Arabidopsis thaliana: one gene and its partners. The protein of the gene in region 3 interacts with the protein of the main gene of each other region in a pairwise test. Each region holds a gene or a part of one and is shown on either strand. Other genes may lie near its edges.

Region 1 (3,914 bases), on a different chromosome or scaffold from region 3:
TCGTATCATTAGTGCATAAATAAACTATGGACCAATTTCATGGTGAAAAAGGGGCTTCGGATGAAATTTTTGATCAAATTATATTTGTTTATTGATAAAACAAACGTTTTTTTTAAAGGATGACAGTTGTGCGTTTGAGATGAAAACCAAACACTGCTCCCACTCAAAATTTGTAAAAATGGAATTTATAAATATTTGGTGCTACAAATGTCGTTTGGTAGCCTTTGGAAACATTAAAGGTAAACTAGAGATATGGGAGTATGGAACTTAATCTCTTTATGTGGTTGTATTTCATATAATTTCACGTGGCCCAACTTGTTTCTGTCAATCCATTGATCAAAGTTGGTAGACAAGAGTGAACCCACACACACTCACACACATACACACGGTCGATCTTTTTTTCTATTCTCGTGTCCCTACGTCCTCTAAACCCCATCATTATACTTCTTGTGTTTTATTGGTATGCTGAGCTAGAGATAGTTAACAACTACCCAACAATGCGGGTCTGGCTTAGTTTGAACCTATTCGAAACTAGTTATACTCCGCTTGAAGTCATTGGTTCGAGACTAACTTTGGAGATGAGTATCATAAACAGCTCTAACTTAAGATTACAATACATCCTCTTGTTAGTCTAAGTTGAGAGGTGTTGCCATTGACTATATATTTCTTTGGGAATTTGGTTTACCAGGATGTTGCAAAGAAGATTTAAATAGTTATAAATTAGTACAAATTCAATCCATATGATATGATATTCAAAAAACAAAAAAAAAAAAAAACTGATCTAAAAGTCGAACCAAATTCTAATTTGATTAGAGCATGTATATAATTGAATCCCTAAGTAAAATTCAACCCAATACTTGAGAAGGTAGTTATATTCTTATAAATTATGGATATGATTTGATTAAAACTCAAACCTGAACCCAAAACATACTAGAATATACGTTTTTACTTTGTAACTATTTGTCACATTCCAAAACTAAACTCGGTACTATATTTGATTCTGATCCATACAAATTTTGTATATCTGGTTTATATTCTCCATGTGAGATTAAAGCGGTGACCAATCAAAATCATTGCTGGAATATCTTACTATTAAGCTAAATGTTGTTAGTTATATACAAGCCAATCCAAAAAAACTGATGCAAAGAGAGATAAACGAACATATCCCAAAATGGTAGGATTTGATTTAATATTCCCATCCTCTTATTAGAAATGCAAACAAATAGACTATAGTTTTATTTATTTATTTTCACTATAAAATAACTAAATAACATGAACTTATTGAAGAAAAAGTATACTATAGTTGTGATTCTGTGATATACTAGTTAGAACAAGAATCTTTACAAAAAAAAAACACATGGGATGTTAGGAGAAGGAGATTCGGATTCCAATGATCCAACGGTCAGAGAAAAATCAGAAGAAAATTTCACAACCGTAGGATCTGTTCCCTTAACCACCTTGTAATGCCGGTCTTTATTAATTTTGAGAAAAAAATAAAAACAGCACCAAACTTATGTCTCTCATGTGACCGACCACCGCATCCTCAGTTGACCTGTCTCTGCCCCCACTTTGTCTCCCCACACAAACTGAATAACAAGAAGAAGAAGACTTTAGATATCAAATGACTCCACGTGTCGATATTGGATTGGTTTTCATTGGTTGTATCGTGTGGACCAACGAAGCAACATATAAAAAGCACGACGCGGTGCCATTACTACAATAAGAGAAGTGTAGGAGAAGAAAGTTCTCATTTCATAATTGTATCAAATTGTGAGAGGAAAAAAAGAAGTTCAAGAAATGGAGAAGGAAGGACTCGGGCTTGAGATAACGGAGCTGAGATTGGGGCTTCCGGGGAGAGATGTGGCAGAGAAGATGATGAAGAAGAGAGCTTTCACGGAGATGAATATGACGTCGTCGGGTAGTAATAGTGATCAATGTGAAAGCGGCGTCGTTTCATCTGGTGGTGACGCTGAGAAGGTTAATGATTCGCCGGCGGCGAAAAGCCAGGTGGTGGGGTGGCCACCGGTTTGTTCTTACCGGAAGAAAAACAGCTGTAAGGAAGCTTCGACCACGAAAGTGGGGTTAGGGTATGTGAAAGTGAGCATGGATGGTGTGCCTTATTTGAGGAAGATGGATCTTGGTTCGAGCCAAGGCTATGATGATCTAGCCTTTGCTCTTGATAAGCTCTTCGGTTTCCGTGGCATCGGTTAGTAACAATTATGTTCTCTTCCCATAAAAGTAGAGTGGTAATTAGATCATGTGGAAAACAACTAATTATATATAGTTTACAAGACGTCCGATTAAGAACTTAGAGTGTTGTAGTCTTGTAGACGTAATGGAGTAGTATAGTTTAGTGCTGTTCTTTCTTTTTATGTCTACAACCAAACCAACACCCCAATTTATGATACAATGACAACACTAATACAAATATAGTTAGAATTTTGGTTAGCAGTTGAACTGATTGTGGTAGCAATGTTATAGATTTTAATTTAAAGTGTTATGAAAGGACAAATATGTCGAGATTTTTATTAGTCATCTCAGGAAATTTATTTACTTGTTCTTAGAGACTTAAGACTAGTCCTAATTTAACTGGTTATTTTTCTCCAAACTGTTTTGAATTATCTGAAAATTATCTATCATAGAAAATTAGAGGTTTCGGTTACTACATATCCGTAATTTCTAAAAATCAGAATTTATGCACCACTTGTATAGTTGTATTGTTAATTAGACTTTTCTATATACCGAATTCGCCATATTATCAACACAATTTTAAATTTACATATATACATATTTGTGCAGGTGTGGCCTTGAAAGATGGTGACAACTGCGAATACGTTACCATATACGAAGACAAAGATGGAGACTGGATGCTCGCCGGTGATGTACCTTGGGGGTATGTTCTATCTTTTGACTTAAGATATCTCACTACAAAAAGAAAATGTATCACAAACTAAAGTAAATGAGTTTGGATATTTTGATTTGCAGGATGTTTCTAGAGTCATGCAAGAGGTTGAGAATAATGAAAAGATCGGATGCTACCGGGTTTGGGCTGCAGCCTAGAGGAGTAGACGAGTGATGATGACTTGAACAAGAAGCAAGGAGCTGGTTCATTAATTTAATCTTAAACTTGATCATCAAGATCCTTTAGAACATTTTTCCTATTCATGTTATATAAATATATATGTTATAGTATATTATTTTGCAACAAAATTTCATGTTATGGTTTTGCATAATTATCTTCAGAAAGACAGCTATATATATATACACTACTTGTTTCTTGAGTGTTGAGTTAAAACATTAATCTGTTTCAAAATTTATTGTTATTTCGGATCTATATATGTGTGTAGAAACATATGTAATAAGTATCCATTATTTCATCTTTTTAAAAAATAATAATTATTATTTGAATCTTTCATTGTTGATATGTTATGTATACCTGTGTTTTGGAAAAAATATGGATATTATAAGCAAATCTAAATAGATATTTATAAAAAAAGTCTACGTAAAACATTCGTTAGTTTTTACTTCTACTTCAGTAAGTGACATCACAAATCTAAATAGATGTTTTCATAAGTATATAAGTGTAAGATAAAAACAAAGAATTCATTCTTCCTTTTTTTTCTCTTAGAGTTATGCTTGTATAATTTATTAGTACTATAAGATTTTTACTAGTAAGTTTTTATTCCAAATATTCGTATACCTCCGAAGAAATTAGTTAATTCATAATCGTAATTTCACATTCAAAGTTAAGATTGCTTAATTTAAAGATTTAAGCTTATTCTTCATTTTTTTTTTTTTTTTTGTAATGATTCTTTTTATAGATATGCACATCTTGCTTTTGATAGCATAAGTACTATCAATTATAGAAAACACCGACATGTTCGGTATGTCAACCTAGTTTTTGTTTTTCTATA
Region 2 (3,365 bases), on a different chromosome or scaffold from region 3:
CAAGATCTGCAGCTTAACACCAAAGGTTGCCCCTTGAGCGCTATACGCATGAAGTATAGGCAAGAGAAAGTAAGCTTATCAGTTAAAACCACATACTAAAACCTGTTTGGTATAACTTTAGTTTGGTTTCCTTGATTCTCATAAGACTTATTATGGATTTGCAGTACAAATCTGTGGCGGTTCTCACGTCTCCAAAGCTACTTGACACGCTATTCTGAAGGTTTCAACTCCTAACCGATAATAGTTTTGTCACATTGATGGTCCAATTTCGTTTTCATTCATCTGTTACTCTTTGTTCATAAAACAGAATTTCCACAGTCCCACTCATCTAATACCTGATTAGAATTCGGTTTAGCCTAGTTTGATCCGTGGTTTGGTTCTTCCAAACCCGGGAACATCTAATCGGTACCTAGAGTTTTTTTTATTGTAACGAGAATGTACATTTTTCTCCCATCTTGAGGCAATGTAAACAGATTCGGAATTTTCATATCAGTTTTCTGATATGAAGTAGGTTTAAGTATTTATATTTCAAATTTCATTGATTGTTGATATTGAACTGTCATGCAGTAGCTTATAAGAACCGCCTCTAGACTTTAGTCCAGTGACCAAAAGATAAAGATGAATGAACTATGTCAAAGAAAACAACTTCTACAGAAATTTCGGAAATCTTAGACTTCCGAAGAGAAATATTGAGTAACTGCAAAAATGTATATTTAGATATCTGTAAGGCTCACTCACATTCACATGTGACTATAAATATCATTCATCCTCTGTTACATGATCTCTTCATAATCCTTAACCTCTTGCACGATCCAAGGAACATTCTGCACACAAATAGTTTCATAATTTATTAGATATCAATTAAATAAAAGAAAGTAAATTTGAATGTTATAGAGGTCGCTAGAAACTTACTCCCAAGGAACATCTCCAGCAAGCATCCAATCTCCATCTTTGTCTTCATATATTGGTACACATTCACTTTCCTTCAACGTATCATCTTCATTTTCATATATAAAGATTATAAAGTTAATATCGATGTTTTGGATCATTAGTTGCCTTGATAAGTAAAGACTAAAACCAAAAATATATACTATATATAGAAACATAAACTAACCAAAATTGATATAGCATCCGAACAGAATTTGCAGAGCGGAAGCAAGATCTTGGTAACATTTGTACATTTCCAAATCAATCTTCCTTAAAAATGCAGCTCCATCTACACTCACTTTCACGTACGAACTTTTGGTCCGTTCGAGACTGTTCTTTCTCCGGTACGAACAAACCGGTGGCCAACCCACAACTTGACTCTTTTTCGCCGGTTCACATTTCAAATCAATCTCTACTTCCGGAGAAGCCCTCTTCTTCCCGGAGATGGACTCACCGGAGACGACGATATCTCCGGGAAGACCTAGCCGTAGTTCGGTGATTTCGAGTCCAAGATTATTACTCTCATTCGCCATCTTTGATGTTTTTGATTGAAAGTATTGGTGTTAATGTGTTTGAACTTTATTCTGTTGCCACTTTATATGTTCTCATGGGAACATAAACGATGGCGTTTGAGACAAGCTTGTTTAGCATTGATTTATCTTGTCGGCCCCATTCGAAGATCTTGTCGAAATTTTTATGTCATGTTTTTTCATTCCTTTGCCGCTTCGTGTTTAAATGTCGATAATATGGATCCGTTGGTTCGACACACTGGACGGCCACGATTTTGTTACCGACAAAGTAGGGTTTCTTTCTCAGCCGTTGGATCAGAAACACGTTACTTTCTATTAGACATCCCATGTTATGTGTGATTTGTTATGTCTGTATCCCATTCTTTTAATCAACGACATAATAATAAAACAACATATTCATGGTCGAATATATATTAGTGCACTTTAAAATCTACGTATATTTATGTTTCTCGACAACCGAACACGTGTTACTCAAGGCTAAGACAAGTTATTATATTATTTCATTTTTTTCTACACGTAACACACTACACAGTGCATACATAATTTCAAAGAAAAAAATGCATCTACGTTTTCGTCATATATCTTGTTTCTGCTATTCACACATGTGCCCGATACTTTCATTACATCATACGTAATCTACACATGTACACCATACTTTTGTCATTATTTGTTACGAAATAGAAACAGAACTGATCAAAATATCAATTACGGGATATATTTCCATTTTTCATAGATATTTCCATATCTTTGTATCTCCAATAGTACATTTTTGGAATGTTCACATGTTGATAGATAAGCTAGATTAGTCAAATTTCCTTGTACACAATTTCTAGTTTTCGATTGATCATGTAGAATTGCGTATAATATATTGTCGGCTGGCTTTAGCCAATGAATAACACAACAAGACTTTGTGATAATGGACAGCGAATCCCACAGTGATAATGATGATCACATAATCGACATTACAAACGATGAAGATTCTTCATCAAGATCGTCTTTGGACGAGAGAAGCTATCCTTCATTAAGTTCGTCTCTGTCTACGGATGACGAATCGTCAGATGAAGGTGCAAGTTCATCTACGAGAGACTGTGGTAGTCTTTGGAATATAATGGAATTAGTAGTCACTTTGGTTCAGATTGTTGCATCATTAATAGTTTTAACTCTGGCAAAAGATGAACATCAACAAGCACTTTTGTTAACATGGGTCATCGGTTACACTTGTGGCTGTATTACCATTACGCTCCTTATTCTCCTCTCGTGTGTCCGCAAATACAACCGAATTGGTGTTTACTCAAAAACGAGGTATAATAAACAACACTTGTTTCACTTAACATTAAGAGTTTAATTAGCTAAATCAAACCGAACCGTTGTTGGTGGCAGAACGGATAGGGTAATGGATGCTTTGAAGATGGGGAATGAATGTTTCTTTGTTGTGTGGTTAGTTATGGGGATTCTATGGATTTGTTATGGACACTCATCTTCTTCTGATACTCCTAAGCTCTACAGGTTTGACTCACAATCATGTCACAGTAGAGATTTAGTTAAACCCTAACTAATCAGTACTAACTTTTGTCTTCTTGATTATGTTTTGGCAGGTTATGTGTAGTCTTCATTGCTTTCAGTTGCATTAGATTTGCATATGCATTACTATTATGCGCAGGTATTTTTTTCGCTTAATGTTCACTAGAGTTTGGAACATTTTTTTCTCATATCTATGATGTGGATAAGTTGAAATCAAATGATGTAGATTCTGTAAGGGAAGGTATAGGAGGTAGATTTGTTTTCAAGAAACCGAGCCATGATGATGTGAGTAATAATTTCATATCACATTAATTACTCTGTTTTAAATAGCATTTTTTTGTTGTTGTTGTTGTTTAATTTTCATGGTTTGATGGTGTGTGCAGAGTT
Region 3 (4,600 bases):
GTCTGTTTATGATACAATTCTGAAAACCAAAAGAGAGAGAAAAAAAAACGAAAAAGATAAAGCAAAAGGATGATTGATTTTACCATGAAAACTGGTGTGCTCAAAGGTTGATATGAGGGAGGAAGAAGAAGAAGAAGAAGAAGGAGAAGAGAGAGAGATGTGAAAGTGGTAATGATCAAATTGACATAAAGTGTTAGTGAAATTAAATCCCAAGAGAGAGAGAGAGTTGAATGGCAACAAGGGTCCCGGCCTCGTCACTTGTTGCTCCCCGCATGGACTCAAGTCTCCAAATGGTGTCTGATATGTATTTCCTTCATACTTGTTTGGTTTGAAAATCAAAGCCAGAAAAGTTGGCTCACTAACATATTTGTCATAGGTGCCAAGGTAGTGTTTAAGAGAGTTACGCAGCATAGCTAGTAGCTATAAGTTGGAGTCAGTAACTCCTCTATGGTCTCGTTGGGAGATAAGGTGAAAATTAAGAGAAGAGAAAAGATGAATGGAGGTAGATTGTGTGGTATTAAAGGGTTGAGGTCGTAAAGTATATCATGAAAGTATCCACAACCAAAATAAATAAAAAGCCAGACACAAGTGTCCTTCATGCATTCCATCTTTTGCATAAGGAAAACAACTTCTCACCAAACAGAAAGAAAGTGAGAAACAAAAGTGGGTCTTCCACCTTTCCCTACTATAATTTATTACAAGCGAGTTTACTCTTATGATAAATACAATGGACCACACTAGGAAGAGTAGGAGTTGGATATAGGCTTAACTCAAAAGAGAGTTTTAATTTGGTTGCAGCACATTCAGCTTCTCTCTTCTTTATACTAACTGTCACAAAGCAAATCCCAAAGCAAAGATGCATTGATCCCCAAATCATATCTTAAAGCATCAGAGGCAGATTACCATTTTTACAAGTGTTTTACTTGTTGTCCATTTCCCCCCATGGAATCTCTGTTTTTGTGGGGGAGAGGGAAGTCAACCCACATCATTAGTGTGCTGTTTTAATAATGCAAAAAGGCAAAAGTGAAAAAGAATGAGAGGAGAGGTATTTGAGTACAAATGTCCTCTTCTGATGGAATTGGTCTGCCTTGAGGAGAGAATCTGTAAGTCAGTAGTGGTCTAATCAAATGCACTCCATTTGCATTGGCCCTACTCTCTACTCTCCACACTATTTGTAATGACTATCTATGTAATGCATCTCCTGTTAAGACCCACAACTAGAATGACCACTGACCAGGCTCAAGCTCATATCAAATTTCAGGGTTCTTACTTATAACACAAGACAATGGGCCTGGGCTTAGAGCTGCTCTCTTTTCTTGCTGCAGCCATTGGATAGACAAAGAGGAAACAACATACCAATGCCTTTGGAATGGAATGTAGGCATTAGAGAAGAAGAAGAGTTACTTAAAGGAATCTCAGTGTTCAAAATCAGTTAGTCACCAAACAGATCGTCGTTATCATCTTCTTCACCAACCCCTCCACATTCAGTTTCAGCTGCTGGTTGACTCACAGAAGCCCATGACGTACCAACAGCCTTGGCAAGTGAGTCACCACCGTAAAGGTCATCGTAAATCCCTGTTTTTGGACCCCGTTTCAACATATTCATAGCTTCCTGGAGTCGATCTGTTACACCTCCTCTTGTTCCTCCTGTAAAGGCTTTCTCTTCCTTCACTTTGCCTTTGGGTATGAGTGTCACTCGCACCAGTGATTCATATTTCCCAACGAGGCTTCCTTCTTTGACATTTATAGGACCAGGCTCTGTTTCCACGTCTGCTCCATCAGACATGCCAACAATCTCAGCCAGCTCTCCTCCTAGTTGATCCCTGAAGCTCACTCTCACTTTCTTCATCCTCTTAGCCACTCCCGCTTCTGATCCGGTCTTCTCTTTCCTTTTCCCTAACATACCACCAGATTCTCCATTGCTTAAACCATATCGATTCAGCAAGGTATTGTAAGCAACAACAGCTTCCTCATCAGAAGCATCAGGAGGTGGAGGAAGCTTAATCTCAGCTGGAGGTGGAGGGCGAGAAAAGAGAGCCTCACTGTTCTTTCTCAGAAGGTAGATTCTTGTGGAGGCAGCAAATCGTAAGGATTGACCCACTTCAAGCTCTACAGGAGTATCTTTAGTCAACCTCTCATTTGCAACAAACGTACCATGAGCTGATCCCAAGTCAATCACAAAGATGCTACAAAAAATAAAAAAGACTCATGTCAACAGTGGCCAAAGCTGTGATGAGAGAATTGAGTAGCGATGACAAACCTGCCATTCTTGTGAGGAACAACTGCGGCATGCTGGCGGGAAACAGACTGATGATCAAGGACAAAATCACAAGTCTGATGTTGTCTCCCGAAGATATGCCTTCGTCTATCTAGATGAATCCGATCAAGGATCTGGCCGTCTTTCACAACTTCCAGAGAGTAGACACCGGCACGAGGCTCAATCGCCCAATCAGGGGGATGCCAGTTTGATTGACCAGCTCCAATCTGAGTTTTTTGCCCCGACAATGCCTCCGGAGACAGATGTTGTTGTACCACCGGAGGAGGATTTGCTGATACAGAGAAGGGTTCCGAAGTTTGGGACTTCTTAAACCTGTCAAGACCAGATCTTCCATACATTCTCGAATCTAAATCTAAAAAGCAGCAATCTTTCTTTCTTTACCAGTCGACGTATTCACATGATCCCCTTCAAGTAACCAGACTCAGTCTAGGGTTTCTCCTTTCTTCAATTCTGTCCAAAGATCGAACATCTACTGAGAACATAAATTTGCAGCTTCAGTCCCTATACTTTATGTATTCTTCTAAACGTACCCCTATGTTTTTTTTTATGGATCAGTGAATTTCATATCCTAACAAATCAACTAGGTCAAGATAGTAAGGCTTTTCACGGAAATGCTTTGAGAATCCTGTGGATGTGATTACGAAGTAGAATCCCATCGTTGATGGCAACCATACCAACCTGTAACATTGTGTTAGAGTACTACTCAAGTGGACTGCAGCGTGAGAAAATTATGAAAAACTTACCTGTGGAACTCTGAACCAGCAAGGTTGAACACGGCGGGTGACAGAGTTAAACTGAATATACAATAAACTACACAAGTCAAAACGTATTGTCAGAGTCATTCGAAATCACATTCACGTAATTCCGATTCGAATCTCTTTTCGTCTTCACTGGGCTAATATTCATGCTACTCTGGTTCGATAATCGGCTTGACTATTTATGTTGTATTGCTCTTTGGCAAATTTGATTAAAGTCTAAAGTCTCCTATAGACCTATGTCAATTGTCACTTGCTTTACATAAACAGCGACAAAAAGGAATACGAAAAGTAGTTGTTTCATTGTTTCGTTGTCATTCCTCTTGTTGATATATATGTTGCAATAATAACATCGGTCGTGCCTATTGGAACTCCTTTTACCGTGACATATACAATTTCATGTAATGATCATCTCGTCAGATTATAAACGTATAATATTGCCCTCACAACAGACTCTAATTCTAAGGATTGATGTTGCATTCTCTGAGATAAACGTGCTCATAGTCTACATGCTTTGACCAGAAGCCTCTGTATCTTGGAATCCCAATCTCTAGCCATGGTTTGAGGTTGCCATTATAGTGTATCACGGCTGCCCTCTCAATATCCCTTTGGTTCACACTCGGGTTGTATCCAAGCCCTAGTATGTGCCATTTCCGGTCTAGCGGATATGTTCGTCTCCAAAATGTGATTAGACCAGGCGGCAACGTCCCTAGCTTCCACAATTCTCGGTCTTGATTCTGCAGTTTAAAATCGTTCGTGTATATGATTAGCAAACATTCTTGAAATCAAAACAGATGCGACCTAGCATATATATATTTTCTGCATACCAGATCCTGCCATCGATGATAAACTTCTGTGATGTTTTGCCTCTTCCATTCATCCAGATCAAAGACATTCATACCATACGCCCAACCACAAGCTCGAGGGTCAAAGTTCTTGGAAATGAGTGGATTTGAGAAGTTCAGATAACGGTCAAAGCGATGAAAGCTTTCCCCACACGTCTCTACAGCACCGTTAACATTACCTTTCAGATCAACTGACCAAAGACCAGAAAGGTCCTTCTGCACAACTATATCATCATCCAAGAAGAGCACTTTGCTGAGCTTGGGAAAGATCTCAGGCAAGTAAAAACGAAGATGATTAAGGATCGATAAGTATTTTGGATTCCGGAACTTCAAGTTGGTGTCTGAATTTGTATGGTGGGCTCTGAAGTAATAATCTATCATCGATCTAGAACTAAGCTGTTTGAGAACGGGACTGTAGCTTGAATTCAGCCATGTAAATTCTTCAACATTCTGAACCTGGATGGTGGCTTTGCCAGGTGGATTGTCCAGGAACCACATCCTCATTGCCGCATAATTGAGTCTGTCTGTGACGATGTGGAAGACATGCTTTAAGGGATGCTGCCAATAAACCATTAAGACCGTAAGTTTAACAGAAAGAAACACAGTTACATGTTCAAACAAAAGAAGAAAGTTAATTCTTACCTTTGCATTGGTTATGGTAGAGTTAACAACAACTGACGTAGCCAAAACATTATCAGAGAAAAGGGCATAGTGATACAGCT
Region 4 (3,636 bases), on a different chromosome or scaffold from region 3:
GCACACTTTTTATTATCTGTATACGTTTTTGGTCAAACCTTTCCTATTGCCTATTGGATGCTGAGATGGACTTCTCTGGATATTCCAAATTATTCCTTCTTTTGATTTGGTTATGTTAAACAAAAAAACGTTTTCTTAGTAATAAATGGATATGGATCAGATTAGGTTCTTAGGAGGATTAGATATGAATGGATGACTCATTGACTTGTAACAATATTAAGCATGCAGAGCATATACTGTATATGTCTTTATTTTATACTATATAAATGCATGTCTTTCTGTATTTGGAGGGTGTTGAATTAATTATGGAAATCACGTCATCCTAATCAGCCACCGGTTCAGTCACTCTTACGTGTAAAAGATAACGTCGTAGACTTTCAACAACTCCGTATGAATGAAAATGTAAGAAAAAAGATCGAGGTTGTCGCCGGAGTTGAGCTCTCTTGTCTTCACAAGGCCTTCGATATCCTACTCATTTTTCGTTTATGCGGATTATGAATTGAAAAGTATGAAAGATAAAATGGCAAATTCACCATCGTAATTACACCACTATATCTTAAAACTGGATGGTTCACAATATCTTCGTATCATGGTAAGACGAGAATCCAGACGTAACATATCGGAGCTCTAGTGATCAGGATTTCACCGAAAAAAGTAGTTCGTGGTTCTTTCTTTATTTCGAATATAATCGTATTCAAAGTTACATTTACCTTTTCTCTTTTGTTTCATTTCCGATTCAAGGCTGACTTGGAAATTATAACAAAGAGTGAAGAAAGAGAGAAGCTAATATTAAAAGGGAAGTACAGCATCGTTTCTTCTTGTGATTCTCAGCCGCTCCACGCTTTCTATGAACTCACTGTCATTTACAAATCACAACACATGTAAACGCTTTATTTCAGTAATCTACAAAGAAAGTATCAAGAGCTTACTTCCATGGAACATCCCCAGCATTTCTCCACAGACCTTCTTCGTCTCTGTAGACCAAACAGAACTCAGACTCCATCTGGAACAACCTCAATCCCGACACACTCTGCATCCCTACAGATTGTAATGAACATCCGGTATAAGCCTACTAGGAACATTACTACTTATAGTACTTACTCATCTTTGAATCCCAAGCTTCCCATGAAAAACTTACCAAACATGTCCTCGAGTTGATGAGCAAGAGTTGAATAGCTTCCATGATCAAGAACACAGACCTTGCGACCTACCACCAAACCATCCATGGTGACCTTTACATAACCCCACTTCCGTCTGTATCCTTCATTACTACAATATCCTTTGCCACATGTCATAACTCATAAGTAAACACCGTCTCAGAGTTGAAAAAATTTACCAAGAAATTAAAGGTAATGGAAATACTAATGGAAACGGCAAAGAAACTCACTTTGGCCAGATGAGTGGTAAATCTCATGTTGTATGGTTCTCAGGCTGAGACCTAAATCGATTACGCCACCAAACTCCGTGGTCTGCGAGTAATATGGATGATACTTGGGAGAATTTGGGAAAACACCGAGTGGGTCTGAGTCCATTGTTGGTTTCTATAACAAATACATATTCAGCACATAACAGATACATAGAAAGGTGAGAATGATGTTGATTTATATCAAGCAGCTAAGGCTAAGAGTGTCAGGAGAGTTAAGAGACATCATTGCAGACAGGGAACAAACAAAAGACAAGAACACATTACCTTCCAGGAAAGGATCAGTTTGTGGTCTTTTTGTTGTTTGTCTGATGCCACTAAGTGCAAGGGATGGGGAGGATCGCTGCAATACATCTGGTCAGCCAACACAAAAACCTGAAATTATCGTGAAGTCAGAATTGTACTATACTAATCACAGCAAGCACATCTCTATCTAGTGAAGTGTCTCAATGTTATCAGAGAGTGTTGACAACTCATTGTCTCAAGTCAAAACCTGTAATCACTCAACATCAAACACGTTACAAAAGAAATAGGTAAGTCGTGCTAGAGAATTCTGTACCATAGAGAATCCAACGAATTAATTTATGGACAAAGAAAGAGAAGAACTAGGTATGGTCTTACATGATGGTGGAGAGACAATATCTTTCATGAAAGAGAGCTCTGTTGTTTAATACTAGACAATTCAGATCTATCATTACATCATGTATCCCACACATTATCTGAGAAGTAGGGCTGTGTCATTAATGGATCTAAGACAGAAAATGTACACATAAATCCATGTCTATACAATTGCTCTCATGGATAACTCAAGTCCTCCAAAAGAAGCAAAGCAGTACAAGAGAACACACCAGTTCTTCTAAAGATAAATGTTCAAATAAAAAGCTCGTTGCCATAACAAAACAAGGGAAATCATCACAGTAGACAAGAGCTTCCAGCATCTCATTCGATGCTTTTCCTAATTTACAGGTGTATGACTTGAAAAAACTGCATCCTAAGCTCATGTACAGTTTGCCCAGATACTAAATGTACGTGTCTTAAACGGAAATGGCATCCTTTTTAACAGGCGCTTCTGAAACACACTTCTTCGACACCACCTTAGTGCGACGTCTACAATCTACATGTGCTATAGCATGCAAGGAACAGAAACTCCCGAAATGTTTCACTTATGCGGAATCATGGTGGCTAAGAAATTCAGTTATGCAAGGATAGACTTGCTCCACTGCCTGCAGTAAGTTGTCAGAGAAACGATTAACAAACGAAACAAGCATGCACATGATACAGCATTGAACAAAGTTCCAACATAGGAGGAGACCTAGAAATGACTGGGGAACAAACATACCAGTCGTCCTCCAACCAAATCATAGTGTGCATAATGTGGTCCATCTGGTTCTCCAAGTAACTTATAAGTGACCAAGTTCTCCGGAAACAGCTTAACAGTGTCTGCCATATTCACAAGCATTTGTAATTAGTCATAATGGTGAAAATGCATGTGTGAGTAGCTTAAAAATTTATTTGGTGTGTGTGGAAAGTATCACAAAAGTTAATCCATCTACGCCTTATACAGCCTCTCATAACTCGAAAGAATTCAGTAACAGCAATGTAGAATTTAAAATGAAATGCATATCTGGGTAAATGAATGGTTTCATGTATATGCTAGAGTCATCTATGCAGAATTTCATAATAAACATTATGTTAGTATACCTTCCACAGCCGCAGGGGGGCAGATCAAGTCCCGATCACCTGCAAGAGCTAAGACAGGGACACTGGTTCTGGGAAGATGATCCTTATAGTAAAATTTACCACTACGATCACGTAAGCCTCCCTCTCGAAAGGCCGTTGTCAGCTGAATAAGTAGTTTTGCAGGTATGGTACCTAGATGTAAGAAAACAAAGAAACTCTTGAAAATCACCATAAAGGGAGCAATTACGGATTGCAAAAAAAGTCATGGTACATTCAAGCATCTAATAGTAACTGTTCCAGCATTTTCTTTTTCTTAATGAAGATACGTTTCTTTTCCACTTAAAATACATTAAGAACTCACATACTTAAATGGGATCAACTGTTTTTACTTACAGAAGTTATTCAAGACAAGCTTTTCTAACATTTCAGGGTGCATCATATCTGTTGATGATATCAAATCATTAAGCCAAGATAATACATATGGAGGACGTGTCGAAAGAGGAAAAGCGGCAGCCAACAAAGCACCCAGAGGA

Evidence for each region.
Region 1: the proteins of AT5G47790 (region 3) and IAA19 interact in binary tests that used the Arabidopsis thaliana proteins (3 or more experiments, as listed by UniProt).
Region 2: the proteins of AT5G47790 (region 3) and IAA5 interact in binary tests that used the Arabidopsis thaliana proteins (3 or more experiments, as listed by UniProt).
Region 4: the proteins of AT5G47790 (region 3) and IAA34 interact in binary tests that used the Arabidopsis thaliana proteins (3 or more experiments, as listed by UniProt).

What each region holds. Positions count from the first base shown.
Region 1 is NC_003074.8:5,262,303-5,266,216, forward strand, and holds IAA19 (indole-3-acetic acid inducible 19), read left to right. Parts: upstream 1-1,698; 5' UTR 1,699-1,797; coding exon 1,798-2,206; intron 2,207-2,799; coding exon 2,800-2,893; intron 2,894-2,985; coding exon 2,986-3,076; 3' UTR 3,077-3,393; downstream 3,394-3,914. UniProt on the Arabidopsis thaliana protein: Aux/IAA proteins are short-lived transcriptional factors that function as repressors of early auxin response genes at low auxin concentrations.
Region 2 is NC_003070.9:5,365,001-5,368,365, forward strand, and holds IAA5 (indole-3-acetic acid inducible 5), read right to left. Parts: upstream 1,498-3,365; 5' UTR 1,461-1,497; coding exon 1,115-1,460; intron 998-1,114; coding exon 913-997; intron 825-912; coding exon 764-824; 3' UTR 512-763; downstream 1-511. Other genes in the region: CYCA2;3 (CYCLIN A2;3), read left to right, coding at 1-69, 165-218; AT1G15590 (E3 ubiquitin-protein ligase), read left to right, coding at 2,374-2,759, 2,838-2,963, 3,205-3,232. UniProt on the Arabidopsis thaliana protein: Aux/IAA proteins are short-lived transcriptional factors that function as repressors of early auxin response genes at low auxin concentrations.
Region 3 is NC_003076.8:19,349,412-19,354,011, reverse strand, and holds AT5G47790 (SMAD/FHA domain-containing protein), read right to left. Parts: upstream 2,721-4,600; 5' UTR 2,617-2,720; coding exon 2,261-2,616; intron 2,187-2,260; coding exon 1,433-2,186; 3' UTR 517-1,432; downstream 1-516. Other genes in the region: AT5G47800 (Phototropic-responsive NPH3 family protein), read right to left, coding at 84-411; GAUT4 (galacturonosyltransferase 4), read right to left, coding at 3,495-3,770, 3,861-4,436, 4,521-4,600. UniProt on the Arabidopsis thaliana protein: Inhibitor of protein-phosphatase 1 (PP1). Binds to and inhibits PP1 activity.
Region 4 is NC_003070.9:5,181,467-5,185,102, forward strand, and holds IAA34 (indole-3-acetic acid inducible 34), read right to left. Parts: upstream 1,948-3,636; 5' UTR 1,778-1,947; coding exon 1,691-1,777; intron 1,564-1,690; exon of another isoform or gene 1,542-1,563; coding exon 1,388-1,541; intron 1,280-1,387; coding exon 1,139-1,279; intron 1,039-1,138; coding exon 930-1,038; intron 857-929; coding exon 790-856; 3' UTR 525-789; downstream 1-524. Other genes in the region: AT1G15060 (alpha/beta hydrolase family protein), read right to left, coding at 2,587-2,646, 2,763-2,863, 3,125-3,295, 3,497-3,636. UniProt on the Arabidopsis thaliana protein: Aux/IAA proteins are short-lived transcriptional factors that function as repressors of early auxin response genes at low auxin concentrations.